Linked DNA regions of Mus musculus. The protein of the gene in region 1 purifies or fractionates together with the protein of each later gene. This does not show direct contact. Links are inferred from orthologs where the notes say so. Each region holds a gene or a part of one and is shown on either strand. Other genes may lie near its edges.

Region 1 (3,500 bases):
GAAATGTTAACCAAATAGAAGCTATGCAGATATTCCCAAATCTCAACCGTCTCAGTATGGGGACGTTCCTGGTCTCACGTACTTCAGGTAAGGGATAGTCAACCTATACTTAGAACTGGCAGAAACCCCCAAAACCGCAAAGTGTGGGATCCCACCCAGCGGGGCTCACCTAGCTGTTGCATAGGACAGCTCTGCTCCATTCTACAGGCCTTGGAGAAGGAAATGGTAGGTTTAACAACGGTGACAGCAAGGATCCATGGGACATTTTGCAGTTTCCAGAACGCCTGTCGCCCCATTGCTGAGGCAGTCCCAGCCATAACTGGCTGATAGTTTAACGATTGGATTTGTGACCCAGGTCATCTGCCTTCCTCTGATACACATTCTAAGACAGAGCAGATCTTTTAATGCAAATCTATATATCTGAATGATTCGTGTTATGAACAAATTAAAGTTCTGTGTAAAGCGTGGTGGTAGGCAACAAGACATTTTCAGATGTGGCTTTGATTGTACTTATTCAAAGTTGAATCTGTGCTGTGTCATTTGGAGTGTGTGTGTGTGTGTATTTATTGTTATTTATCTTTGCAGGCATTCCAACCTTAGGGAAGAATGTGGTAGTGGCTGGCAGGTCAAAAAACGTTGGAATGCCGATTGCAATGTTGCTGCACACAGATGGAGCTCACGAACGGCCCGGGGGTGAGGAAGTTCCCTTTCCTGTGATAACTCTCAAAAGCCATCCTGTGACCCCTGTGAACACTCAGAAATAACCTGCACTCAATGCCACCAAGGATCCTGGAACTAGTCTCTGATAGATCCGAGTTTTGAATAAAGCTTGCTTGTAGGCAATTAGAAATTGTCAGTTATGGCTTATATGGCTTAGACAGTCCCAACGAGCTTTCTTACTCAGAGTTGGTGTCCTACTCTGTGTCATTTGGGAGGAAAAGAAACAGTGGCTCCTGCAGAGGAGTTAACTGACCAGACCGGCGAGTCATGTCATGGTCTGTTAATTCATCTAAGGGAAAGCTAAGTCAAGAATTGCACGGAATTACAGTAATAATGAGTTTCTGGGACCAAAGGAAAGCTGTATTTCCAGGTACCTTTTGGCATTATTGAGAAAACTCACCTGAGTAATTCTAGTGATGTTTTCTTAGAAAAGGTAAAACTCTTTAAAGTCCATGACATAGGAAATAGATTAAATGTGATTATAAGTGACCCCAAGGAGGTCCAGCTGAGAGCAGCGCCAGACACTACACCAAGTGGTAATTGTGTTTAAATTTTCATTTCAGTTATTACTATGTGTGAGTTCCGGGGTCAGACTCAGGCTGGCAGGAATGTTTGATAAGCATGTTCACACACACATACCACACACACACACACACACACACACACACACACACCCGGCCCTTTTCTCTGTCCTGAGTATTGGCTCTAAGAGACAATGCAAGTCCATAATTTTCCAAAGGTGTTGGGTTTCTGCAGTGCTGTGAGCAGCTGAAACCTACCTCCATCCCAGCCTGGATTTGGGACTCAAGGCATCTGTTTTTGCCTCTCAGGTGATGCCACAGTCACAATATCTCATCGATACACTCCCAAAGAGCAGCTGAAGAAGCACACGATCCTTGCAGACATTGTAATATCTGCCGCTGGTAAGAGCTCTACAGTGCATCTCTAGACTTATATGTAGATGTACACATATGCGTTGTCTGAACTCTCACCCGCCCAGCTGCCATCCCCTCCCAGTGAGTCTCTGAGCTGGAGTTGCAGTTGGGATTCTTGTACCTGTCGCCCCATTGCAGACTGGAGGAGGAGGGTACTCCTACCCGCAGAGTATTTCCATGTGCGTTTAAATGGTTCCTTAGTTACTGGTGCTCCTCCAGGTACCATGTCTTTAATGTCCTATGACTATAATGCCCCCTGCAGGCACAAGGTGCATATATATTCAGGCAAAACATTTCTATACGTAAAATCAATAAATCTACAATAAATGAAAATCCAGAGATGAAGTATGTTGCCTTCAGTGTCCCGCTGATCATTGCTCTCTGTCACTAGGCATTCCAAATCTGATCACAGCTGACATGATCAAGGAAGGAGCAGCGGTCATCGATGTGGGAATAAACAGAGTTCAAGATCCTGTCACTGCAAAGCCCAAATTGGTTGGAGATGTGGATTTTGAAGGTATTTAGTGTAATTTGTAAATAATACCTTTCATGGACATTAGGACAGATTGCTTTTCTTTCTCTCTCTCTTTCTTTCTTTCTTTCTTTCTTTCTTTCTTTCTTTCTTCCTTTCTTCCTTCCTTCCTTCCTTCCTTCCTTCCTTCCTTTCTTTCTTTTTAATGTATTTATTTACTTCATGTATGTGAGTACACTGTCGCTGTCTTGAGACACACCAGAAGAGGGCGTCAGATCCCATTACAGAAGGTTGTGAGCCACCATGTGGTTGCTGGGATTTGAACTCAGGACCTCTGGAAGAACAGTCAGTGCTCTTAACTGCTGAGCCATCTCTCCAGCCCTTTCTTTTCTTCTTTCCTTCCTTTCATTTCCTCTCTCTGTCTCTGTCTCTGTCTCTCTCTCTCTGTCTCTCTCTCTCTCTGTCTCTCTCTCTCTCTCTGAGACAAGGTCTCAGTAGGTAACTTTGGCTGTGTCGACCAGGCTGGCCTTGAACTCACAGAAATCCATATTCCTCTGCCTCCCTTTTTTTATATCTTTTAAGTAATAAGAATAATTTTGGTAACATTGTTAAAACACTTTTTTAAAAAATGTGTGGTGTGTGTGTAATAGTATGTGCTTGAGTTTGCATGTGTGTGGGTACATATGTCTGTGGGGGCATGTTTGGGGGCATGTGTGTGTGGGCGCATGTGTGTGGAGGCCTGAGATTGACACTGAGGGCCTTCCAGGATTGTTCTCTACCTTCTTCCAAGAGGCACCACCACGCCTCATGGCTATACATGGGATTTTTTTTTTTTTAAAGAAATTGTATGTGTGTTGTGTGGGTGTGTATATTTGTGTTACGTGTCTGTGTTGTATGTGGTATGTGGGTCTGTGTCTATTTGTTATGTGTCTGTTTTGTGTGTGTATTATATGTATATGTGCTGTCTGTGTGTTGTATATGTGTTATGTGTGTGTGGTGTCTGTGTATTGTATGTTGTGTATGTTTTTTTTTAAGATTATTTATTTATTTTATGTATATGAGTACACTGTTGTTGTACAGATGGTTGTGAGCCACCATGTGGTTGCTGGGATTTGAACTCAGGACCTTCAGAAGAGCAATAAGTGCTCTTACCTGCTGAGCCATCTCGCCAGCCTGCGATTTGTATGCATTATGTGTGTATGTGGTGTCTGTGTGTCATGTGTGTCCTAATATCTGTGTCTGTGTATATGTTACTTATGAGTGTGCATGTGTGATGTGTATGTGTGTGCTAATGTATATGTTGTGGGTGTATGTCATGCATGTGTGTTGTATATGTATGTTGGTAGGTTGTTTTTGTTTTTTGTTTTCTGGGT
Region 2 (4,271 bases), on another chromosome or scaffold:
ACGGGCACAAAGGACATGACTGACTGCAGGCGGGGGGGATTGGCAGAATTGGGGGAGCAAGGACATCAGAGTGGATATGAAGTTCATCTGGCTAGCTGAGGTCACTGCCCCAGACGTCTCGCTGGTCCCTGCCTCACCTGGTGTCAGGACAGCACACATTTGCAGCTCATGCAGCCAGGACCACTCTCATCGGGTGGGTTCAGTTTCCGCAATTTATGCTGCCGAATCTCACGGACTAGTGTATAGAAGGCATCCTCCACGCCCTGGGGACAGAGGGACTAGATCAGAGAGGACTCTGGGGAGAAAAGGGGTGCTGTCTGGGTAAGAAACTCCCTGCCTAGATCAGGTCACACCCCAACGCTGGAGGCTCCCTTCCTCAGCTGCAAAACCAACACAAATAGGGAGCTGGGCCCTGGCCATCCAAAAGGCACAGGCCACTCTCCTGAAATAGGGTTCACTCCTGAGTATCACTCAAAGTCAGAGCCACTTAACTCAGGACTCTCCCAGACCCCCAGTACGTCTCAAGTTGAACAGCCTAACAACACTGAAGGGCTTAAAACTAGCCAGTATCCACAGGACACTGGGGACAAGAAGAACTAAGGCCCCTGGGTCGCCGCTCCGGCCTGGCTCAGGGCAGCTCTCTCCAGGGACCCCATCCTGCCCTAGAGCTATGTGAACTCAGAACTGCAGGGCATAAGCCCAGACCCTGGCCCTTGCCTCCCTCACAGCCCTGCGGTCTGGGAGACTTACAGCTTGAGGGCCGCTGGGTCACATGGGTCCCGGGGGAGGGGGGATCCCAGAGGGTCCCGGAGCTGGAGCCAGAGCGGCTGCCCTGTGTTGAGGGAGAGCGGCAATGAGCTCTGCTCCCTGGCTGGGGTGGGGTGCGGTAAATCCTTGACTAGCTGTGGAGAGGGAAACAGGCTCACCTGCCGGGTCTTGGCTGATGTTTCAATGTAGGGGATGCCATAGCTGCGAGCAAGGTCCTGGGCCTGCCGAGACTCAACAGTGCGAGCAGCCAGGTCACACTTGTTGCCCACCAGCACCATTGGCACATCATCTGAATCTTTCACCCGCTTGATCTGCTCCCTGGAGGGGGATGGGGTGGATATGAGCCAGCTAGCAGGCTGCAGGCATGACTGTGTCCAGGACATTCAAAAAAAGACATAAAGCCTCAGTGTGCACACGGAACCTTCCTCACGTGTGCCACGGGCTCACGGGCTAGCCATAGGTGGCTCACCTGTACTGATGGATGTCCTCGAAGGACTTGGTGTTGTTGATGGCAAATACACAGAGGAAGCCCTCCCCTGTGCGCATGTACTGGTCCCGCATGGCACTATACTCTTCTTGACCTGCTGTGTCTAAGATGTCCAGTAGACATGTCTCCCCATCAATGACCACCTGTTTCCGGTAGGAGTCCTGCAAAACAACACGGCTTAGTGGGGGTGGGGGGTGGGGGTGGGGTCTCACCTCTCCTCAGACCAGAGAATCCACAGAACCAGCCTACACCCTTGCACCTCTCATACCCTGATGGATCATACCCCATAACACCTACAAGACCTGGGCTGTTTGGTCATTTACCCATGACCACTGCCACAGCCCACCTCTGGCAGGTAGGCAGAGCTCACCTCTATAGTGGGATCATACTCGTCCACAAAGTGGTTCTGGATCAGCTGGATGGTCAGGGCACTCTTTCCCACGCCTCCAGCGCCCACCACCACAAGCTTGTATTCTGTCATAGCTTCTACAGCGGCTGCCAATCCAGGAGCTCCTGCCCCACCTGCCAATGAGAAGCACACTTAGCCAAGGCCCTTGCCACTTGAGACGGCTAATAGATGCCTGACCCAAGGGCCCTCTCCAGCATTGAGCAGGCAGGCCTGCCAGTGGCCCAGTTGATCACCTGTGGCACCTTCAGCTTGAAAAGGGAGGACCCCACCCCCACCCCCCAACCTCCTCAAACAGCACTTAATGGCTGTGTGAGGAAGCAGGGAGAGGCCCCCAAGGCAGGGCTGACAGCTGAGAGCTTCTCCCAACCACGCACCCAAATTAGAAGTCGCTAGGTAGGCAGAAACCCTCAACTGGAGGCGCCTGAGGGCTGAGGCCACCCCCCAAAAAACAGGTCCTGCCACGGCGGCCTCGGCGTGCCCAGGCAGGCCAATGCCAGCCTACAACCGGCTCTGGCCCGCCGGCATGTGGGTGCAACCTACAACTATTTACTGAGCGCCTACTGCATGCCAGGCGCGGTCCCGGCAGCGGGGGGAGGGTGGCTGGAGAAGGACCCTGCCCTCCACTAAGACAAACCTTCCACAAGGGGCCAGGGAGCTTTCACAGAGGGGGGGAAAAACGGCTGAGGGTGTGGGAAGCAGGTGACTACAGGAACGCGAGGGATGGCTGGGAGCAGAAGGCCCTGGTTGGGGCCCAACGCGGGTGTCCTTGTGGCCCCGAGGCCCGAGCGTGATGGCCGCGGGGCGCAGAGTCTCCGGAGGCCCGGGCGGCGCCTCGCTGGGAGGACGGCCACAGGCAGAGCGAGTCCGGCCGCAGAGGCGGGCAGCCGGACGCTAGGCACGCTGCCGGGCCGAGAGGAGCAAGGAAGCACCGATCACCTGCGCCCCGCGCCCCACCCCGTGCCCGCACTCACCGCTTGCTGGCGCGACTGCCCCCGGGGCCGGGGCCGGGGCCGGGGCAGGGCGGGGGCGCGGACGGGCGCCGGCTGGGCCCGCGCATGAGCTCCGTCCGCGGCGGGTGCGGCTCGGGCTGCGGGCGCCGGGAGCGGACGGCGGGGACTTGGCCGGGCCCGCGCTCGCCCCGCCCCGCTCCGCCCCACGCCCGTCCGTCAACTCGAGGCGGCCCGTGATTGGTCGAACTCCTCCGCACCGCGACCTGTTGTGGTTGGCTGAGCAACCCATCCGTCAGAAGCCGAAGCTGGGCGGGGCTTCCTGGAGCCGCGGGGAAGGCAGTGCCGGAACTTGGGTCCTGCACTCAACAGTGATGTCTAGTGCCTAGGTGCAGAAGAGACAGACCGAGACCGTGCTTACGAGCCCGGGATTTCTCCGGAGAGAAACTGGTGCACGCTCGGGTTGCGTTGAGGACCTACTACAGAGCCTCCACCCTGCAGCCTCACCAAAGGCCCAAAGGCCCACGAGTGGAAAGGTCATCCCGACCGGGTATTGGTGTCGGGGACAGTCAGCACCGCGGACGCGGAATAACAGAGGAAGACAGAGTTCGCCGGAACCCCTAGCTGCCTGTTCTCGTAGGTCGAGGTGGAGCAAAGGCTCCATCCTGGGGCAGCGTCGGCCCATCACACCGCGCTCTTCGTGTTTTGGAGAAGACCCCCCTACCGCTCTCAAACTCGAGGTCCCAACACTGCAGAAGCTCATACTGCGTCCATTTGAAGAACGACCCCGAAAGTCAGAAAAGTTGGTATTGGGGCGAAATGAAGTGTTCCACCCACTCAAGCAAGTAGGGTACATCTGTGTCAGACGCAAATGACATGTTTTCAACACTTTTTGAAATTTCAAAGAAACGAATAAGCACGTCCTCAGAAAAACTCAGGCTTTTACTCAGGTCGTGCAGGCCTGGGGTTGCACGCTCACCCCGGTCGCCGCCCGGGGTGCAAGCTCGGCTTGTTCTATTCATCTAGCAGGCAGATAACCGAGAGCTGGCCAGAAGCCTCTCACGGACGGCTCTCTGAACCACCGTGAGTGCCTTCACTGCGTTCAGCCGTCCGGCTTGTCTCTTACTCTAGGGAGCATTTCCACCGGATCTGCCGCGTGTCCCGGCAACCGTTGCTAGGGGGCGGGGCTCATCTTACCGAAGCCCCGGATGCCCGCGGCTCACGAATATTTGGGTATTCAAATGAGCCCCGCCCCCGTTGCCATGGCGCCAGGCCTGCAACCCCATCGCGGTGGTAAAAATAATAATTAAAAAAAAAAGCCCTCACCTGAGAGAGCGACCGCCGCGGTGGAGGGGCCTAGTGCTGCGCCCCAAGTCTTGGGCACTCTGGCCCACCCCTCAGGTGAGAGCCTAGCACCTCCTCTCCATGTCCTTTGTGCTAGGGGGATCCTGGGCGACCCACGTCTGTGGGACAAGACATACAGGACAGAGTAAGCAATAAGTCATGAAGTGCAGTGGAAGGGGATCACTCTAACTAGAGAAATGTATCTGGGAACGGCAGGAAGTACAGGAGTTAGGGGTCGGCCAAACCTGCATGGAGGCCACGGAGGAGGACTAAGAAGAAAGGATATACTTAATGTTCTGAACAGAGTTCTTACCTT

Evidence for each region. Proteins that work in one complex are often made in the same cells at the same time.
Region 2: the proteins of Mthfd2 (region 1) and Hras purify together in Homo sapiens (co-immunoprecipitation; 4 studies listed by BioGRID and IntAct, with this or other methods). This does not show direct contact. The link is inferred for Mus musculus from reciprocal best matches to the Homo sapiens genes MTHFD2 and HRAS.

What each region holds. Positions count from the first base shown.
Region 1 is NC_000072.6:83,307,605-83,311,104, reverse strand, and holds part of Mthfd2 (bifunctional methylenetetrahydrofolate dehydrogenase/cyclohydrolase, mitochondrial precursor), read left to right. Parts: intron 1-585; coding exon 586-693; intron 694-1,550; coding exon 1,551-1,643; intron 1,644-2,046; coding exon 2,047-2,172; intron 2,173-3,500. UniProt on the Homo sapiens protein: Although its dehydrogenase activity is NAD-specific, it can also utilize NADP at a reduced efficiency.
Region 2 is NC_000073.6:141,191,205-141,195,475, forward strand, and holds the start of Hras (GTPase HRas), read right to left. Parts: upstream 2,801-4,271; 5' UTR 2,636-2,800; intron 2,605-2,635; exon of another isoform or gene 2,299-2,604; intron 1,778-2,298; 5' UTR 1,737-1,777; coding exon 1,626-1,736; intron 1,417-1,625; coding exon 1,238-1,416; intron 1,137-1,237; exon of another isoform or gene 1,087-1,136; coding exon 927-1,086; intron 833-926; coding exon of another isoform or gene 751-832; intron 264-750; coding exon 144-263; 3' UTR 1-143. UniProt on the Homo sapiens protein: Involved in the activation of Ras protein signal transduction. Ras proteins bind GDP/GTP and possess intrinsic GTPase activity.